Nothobranchius furzeri: one gene and its partner. The protein of the gene in region 2 purifies or fractionates together with the protein of the main gene of each other region. This does not show direct contact. Links are inferred from orthologs where the notes say so. Each region holds a gene or a part of one and is shown on either strand. Other genes may lie near its edges.

Region 1 (3,926 bases), on a different chromosome or scaffold from region 2:
CGCCCCAGGGCAGCTGTGGCTACATCGTGGCTCATCATCACCATCAGTGTGTGAATGTGCATGTGAATGGATGAATTAAACACTGTAGTGTAAAGCGCTTTGGAGTCCTTACTCTGAGAGGCGCTATACAAGTACGGGTCATTCGTTCACACACAGCTACGCTAACGAATTAGCTCAAATGCTTTCTCAGAAGTACAACAATTTACTACAAAACAGCCGTCACTTCCTCCGCTCAGGCACAAACATCAGCCCTTCAGTGAGGCTGTGCTCGAAACACGCCGATTTTCCATAACTCACCATCATCTCCATTAAGAATCCACCAGCATTCCTGCATGAAAACAATTGTTTTTTACTGGTTCCTGCTGTGATGTTAAAACACAACTGTTTAATAACCCCATGTAATGACCCCCCCCCCCCCCCCCCCCCGAAGCCGATGGCTCCTGCCAAGCCAGAAGTTGCACAACAGTTCCCTAAATTGTTTGTTTGTATTGCAGAGAGAATAACTATTAACATATGGATGCAGTCGATGTGATCTCCAACAGTGAAAAGCTGATGAAAACAAACCGCTGTGTTCTCTCAGCAACTTTATGACGAGATTGGAGAGGTTAGCTTCAACTTGTTCCTCTTCTCAAAAAGAAATAAACCATAATAAAAAGTATTCCACCACACTGATTAGACGTTTAAACCAGACGCATACATGTTCCCCTTTTTTCATCAGTAAGCGTAGGAAACAAAAGGTTTGATGTGAGCCGGATGTTTCAGACCCGTCTGTTTCTTCCAAGATCCAAAGCCTCTTTCCCCCTAAAAACCACAAATGGAGGAAATGGCAGTCTGAGCAGACCCGAGCAAAACCGCAGCAGCAGCGGGGGCTAAAAAGAGACACGGCTAGCAACAAGATGAACATTCAGCTGGGCCACGTCGCTGTAGGAATCGTTTCAGAAACTAAACTAAAATCTTGATTTTTGCCTTAAGAGGGTTAAAAAAATACAGTAAATGAGAAATGTAGCCATGTAGGAGTACAACACAATACCACAGTAGCTCTGGCTTGTTTATCTTCCTCTTCCAATCTCCTGCTTAATCCCATTCATTGACTCTGAGGGCCAACACAGTACAGAAGGAACTCCCCACTGCTAGCATCATAATGGAGCCTCATCAGCATCACAACACACACGTATTCAAGCACGGGGGTCTGCGATGCCACAGTGCAAAACTGCTGCTCAACAATGCAGCAAATGCCAACACGATTGGCTCTTTTATTGACAGATGAAGAGAATCTAGCTGTAAAAGATAATATGATGGATAAACGTGCTGCTGTAACAAGTGAATTTCCCCACAGTGGGATTAATAAAGTCTACTCTAAAACCTAAACGGGTGTTTGTTTAATCTGGTTGTGTAGGTTTTTCCTCCAGCTAGAGGAGCCGTACTAATGCAAGTTACCTTTATATATACACCTGCCTCCAAACAGGCTAGGAGTTTCATAAACAGACTCTCGACACTTCCTACCAAACTAAGCAGCTGCTTCGGCACAAAAACTGTCCCTCTTGGGCTTCTGTAGTGTATTTCCTAAGGGCTGAGCAGTCTTTACAATAATAAATTTCAACTTCCTGATTGATCAGGAGTGGATAGGCTCGTCTCCACTCGCTTCAGGTCTGGCAACAGACACGACAAAATCCAATAACACTTTAAGTTATGCTCGTTATCGTCCGCTAGGATGATATTCCCTCCGCAATCGACAGCAACACTCCCATTGTGTTGCAGAACAAAACAGGTTTTAAGGTATGCTCCCTGTAGGCTGCTGCTTGGAAAAAAATAAGGTAAAGGACAACTTCACCACAACACACTCCACACACACGTGAAATGATTAGCACCGAGCTCCCTCAGGAGTTAAAGCTGGACCAATTTCCTTCTGGTTTTAAGGAGGATCTCTCGTTTCATACCAGTCAAACGAGAGTAAAAAAACGCTGCCACGGTTATTTTAATGCCTAAAAACAACAACAACACTCCGAGCTCCAAGTGAAAATGTCCTAAATGACTGAAAAGTCTACACGAGGACGCACGAGTGTCTCGGAGACATCATCACCAGACAGTAATTTACTTCTACGTGTGAAAACTCGTGGAAGACGTCACATATAAACAACTCTGAATCATATTTAGGTCATGTTTTAAGACAATGGAGAAAATAAAAATGACGTATTACATTCAAATTCTCTACATCAAAGTTATTTTAAAATACAGATCCAAGGGAAAACTGTTTTACCGTAGCACTTTTCCGACTGCCTGAAGAACCATTTTGCAACTTAATGTGTTTTTAGGATTTTTCTGAGGGTGCATGTCCTTCTTCTTTAAAGAAAATAAGGCGTGATCTCTGACCATAGTTCAAAACATGAAGAAAATAAGTCAGACTCTCTCCTTCAGCTCTTTTACATTTGGCCTGTCCGACAAAGACACAGAGCTCCGGCTCAGGGAAGCTTCCGACTCACTTTACAGGAGAAAGAAAAACTTTTGAGGGAGAGCTTAAAGAAGCTCCACCCCCCCCCTTACTCTGGCCCAATCAGAGCAGGAGCTTGAACCAAGTGGGCGGGCCTTGGTGACGTTGAAGTCAGCCCATGTAGTTGGTCTTATCCTCTGATGAGTAAGAAACAGGTTGACTGAAAATCACACTTTTATTCAGCCAATAAGTAGAAATAAAAATATAAACAACCCATGAATAACACTTTAGATGACAAATCAGAACCAAAACCAAACATATTTAAAATAAAAATAGGATAAACAAACACTAAAGCTCAGCCACTAGTTTATATGCAATCACATCTAAAATATAAGTGTACCATTATAGTTCATGCTAAAACTGTGAGGTGAGCTGCTGAAACTACCCTGGAGTCCGGTTATGACGGCGTGTTCAGACACGGCAGGAAGGGCTGAGGAACCAGTGGGCGAATCAAACACAGCCCGTTGGAGAGCTAAAGGCAGATCTGTGAACACACACACCGAGGTTTCTTTGGAGCAATAATTTGAGAACTTTTACAGTTTGAGGCAAAAGATAAATATAAGCTCTAATTAAATAGTCAACAAGGAGCTCAGACAACAGCATTTGGGAACAAATTGAACAAAAGGTTATAAAAACTGACCGAGTTCAACTCATGAGACAATTGCAACTTCTGTCGCCAAACTTCAGCTTTCCCCTGTAATTATGGTCTCGATCCAGTCTTTTATTCTTCACTCGGCTGCTCAGTTCACACATTCCCACTTCCTCTTCCGTCACCTCTCATTGTCAACGTTCTAAAGCCGAACAGAAATACCTGATCTGAGATCTGCGGCGGATTCTTTGTGGCTTAAGGCGAGCGGCTACATGAGACGGAGATTGTGTTGATTTAGTGTATGAAGGTAACAAAGTGTCCTCTTATGGGGGTTAAATTAGGGTATGAAGAGGTGTGTGTTGTGCAGCAGGAACAGAGAGCGTTTCGGGGCAGCAGTAGCTCAACAGGTTGAGCGAGTTGTCCAGTAATCGGGTTGCAGGTTCGATCCTGGCTCCGGACAGAGAATGCTGCTGTTGTGTCCTTGGGCAAGACACTTAACCCACCTTGCCTGCTGGTGGTGGTCGGAGGGACCGGTGGCGCCTGTGCTCGGCAGCCTCGCCTCTGTCAGTGCGCCCCAGGCCAGCTGTGGCTACATCGTAGCTCATCCCCACCAGCGTGTGAATGTGTGAGTGAATGGATGAATGATACACTGTAACATAAAGCGCTTTGGAGTCCTTACTCTGAGAGGCGCTATACAAGTGCGGATCATTTATCATTCTTTTTGAATACCAAATCAACTGAAATATATCTTCTATATTTTTAAACCTCCTGTGTGATCGAATGAGTTGATAAGGAATGCTACGCATCCTGCATAACTGATGGCGTTTTGCACAAAGAGGGTGTACTGAA
Region 2 (2,604 bases):
CCAGTCCTTGTTCTTCAGGTCCACTTCCGTCTGGTTGGAAACGGGAGCGACTGCTGAACAGAAACACGCGTGACTTCAGGAATCACACGACACACGTTAACCGGGAACGGGACGCAGACCTGTCGGCGTCAGGATGTCCGAGTCGGGAAACTCGTCGAAGTTGGACGTGTCGTCGATGCTTTTGATGTTGATGGGAATGGCAGCAGGTCTCTCCCTGGAGCAGAACAGACGCTGGGTTAGGAAAAGCAGGATCTGATCAACACCCAGCAGGAAGTCTGGGTGGAGGAAAGCAGCCAAAGGCTCCAAACAGGCCAGCCGCTACGATATTAAATAAATCGGGTCCTTTTTTCCGTCTAGTGGCGGCGGCAGTCGGCCACAGAGGTGCCTGAAACTTATTTAAATCAGCCTTTAAAAATAATCAAAGCCTCCGTCAGTGAAAACACGACATCACTTCCTGTTGATCCGTTATGAGAACCCAGCGCTGACCTGATGTGGTCGTAGTCCACCCCCTCAAAGAAAGGATTGGATTTGATCTCCTCCACCCCCACAGCGCCGATCCGATGCTCCTCCTCACAGCAGAACCTGAAGAGAAACAGCCAAGCTATTGCAGGGTGGTACATAAATCTGAGGAGCATTTATTTTGAAGGCTGAGGTGATTTCCTGCCTGAGAATCAGGTCTTTGGCCTTCTCTGAGATGGGCACCTCCGGAGGGAACGTCAGCGTCTCTCTCCAGTTCATCACCTTCCTGTAGGTCTCCTGAGGCGTCTCCGAGCAGAACGGAGGGTAACCTGGAGAACCAGCACAACGTTTAGCACCAGAACCGGCCCGACCCGGCGCTCCTGAAGGCTGCCTCTGGTTACCTATCAGCATCTCGTACATGATGACCCCGAGGCTCCACCAATCACACAGCTTGTTGTATCCGTTCTGCATGAAGACCTCTGGAGCGATGTAGTCCGGCGTTCCCACCGTGGAGAAAGCCTGGAGCAGGAACGTGAGGTTATGCTGAGATGACCTTCATGTCAGATTAAAAATCACTTGTTCACTAGAATAAATCCTTGTGTGCAGCAGGAGAAGGGCGGGGTTAGGTCCGGTTCATGGATCCAACACCAACAGGATTAGAGCAGAACTCCACAAACGCGTCCGACTGAAACCCACATCGTCCTCTTTACCGGGCCTGAGCCATTCTAGGAAAAGATCCAAGTGCGACTTTTCTTGGAGAAATTTCGATTTCAGTTCAAATCAAGTTTCAACACAATATTCTTAATATAGAATAATATATAATTTTATATAAGTCATAAAAATCTGAAGCTAATTTACTCATTCTTTTCCAACGAGCTCGTGAAGCGTCTGAAATCATGAAACACGTTTTACCCGCTTGTTGGAACTAGCGTCAGAAATATTCTAACGCACTGAGGTCACACTGGAGCCGAGGCCCAAGTAAAAATCGAATCGCTCGCAAAGTTCCCGCGCTGCTCCTCTGTTCACATCAGGCGACAATGCTCGACGAGCGCATCTGCTCACCCCACGCCCGTGTGTGTGTGTGTGTGTGTTCATCTCTCTAGTCTGTTTAGATACACAAAAATGATCACTTTTATGAATCGTGGTGTTTTACTTTGAAAAATGCCTTTATTTTGTTAAATTTACCGGCCTGCCTCTTTTGTTTTGGTTGGACTTCCTGCCAGACTTGACGCAGAAAATGAGAGCTCACACCAAAACGATGGCTGCACAGCACGAGCCTTCGCGGCTGATGTGATCCAGGGGTTAGGCTCGGCTCCGGTGCACCCCCTCCCCCGCGTTGGCTGTTGCCGCGGTAACGCGGGGCAAACCCCTGGATGTCTAAAAGAGATCCTGGTTCTGTCATGAGCGCAAAGCTTTGATGATCACAGGATCTCGTTATTTAAAATTGGAATTTCGGTCCAAAAACAACCGGTCAGTCAGCGCTACTTTTGACCGTCCCATTTAGGAAAACTAGCTAGACATCTCTGATCTTCTGGTTCTGAATGAAAGTTTTACTTTGAAGCTGAACCTGGGTGTGTTCATGGTGTATTTATACGCTCAGACTCACCAGCTGCCTCCTGTTTCTCTTCCAGGTTTCTGCTTTCCTCTTGGAGTTCATGTTCTGAAAGGCTGCAAAGAAACCACACGGCTCAGTGTGTGTGTGTGTGTGTGTGTGTGTGTGTGCGTGTGTGTGTGAGACAGGGTGACATGTTACTTCTGCTGCACGCTTCCAGCATTTTACACCAAACACAAAGTTTTCAGCAGAACATCCAAACTTGTCCGATTTGGGAAAAAACACTTCAGTGGAGGTTTTGTGGGAATGTGAGACCAGAACCGTGGCGGAGAGGAAGTGGGCGAGTGTTAGCAGCGTTAAATGCATCAGCATGATACCCTTTACCATTAATACCATCATCAATAAGAATAATTATTGTTATAACAGGAAGTTAGAAATGAGACTTCAGTAGCTGGTAAACACACATCGGGCATTAAACTTATTTTCTGCATTAAATAATCTCAGATTTTCACCAGCTGATCCATTCCTGCAGGACAAATCTAATCAATCCTTCTATAAACATGTTTATCTGCAGGAAGGATTCCTGTTGCCTA

What was found.
Region 1: the proteins of stk38a (region 2) and mob2a purify together in Homo sapiens (affinity purification with mass spectrometry; 7 studies listed by BioGRID and IntAct, with this or other methods). This does not show direct contact. The link is inferred for Nothobranchius furzeri from reciprocal best matches to the Homo sapiens genes STK38 and MOB2.

What each region holds. Positions count from the first base shown.
Region 1 is NC_091744.1:77,548,276-77,552,201, reverse strand, and holds the start of mob2a (MOB kinase activator 2a), read right to left. Parts: upstream 2,569-3,926; 5' UTR 2,374-2,568; coding exon 2,258-2,373; intron 1-2,257. UniProt on the Homo sapiens protein: Stimulates the autophosphorylation and kinase activity of STK38 and STK38L.
Region 2 is NC_091755.1:45,349,932-45,352,535, forward strand, and holds part of stk38a (serine/threonine-protein kinase 38), read right to left. Parts: intron 2,128-2,604; coding exon 2,066-2,127; intron 979-2,065; coding exon 861-978; intron 789-860; coding exon 665-788; intron 583-664; coding exon 487-582; intron 215-486; coding exon 120-214; intron 54-119; coding exon 1-53. UniProt on the Homo sapiens protein: Serine/threonine-protein kinase that acts as a negative regulator of MAP3K1/2 signaling. Converts MAP3K2 from its phosphorylated form to its non-phosphorylated form and inhibits autophosphorylation of MAP3K2.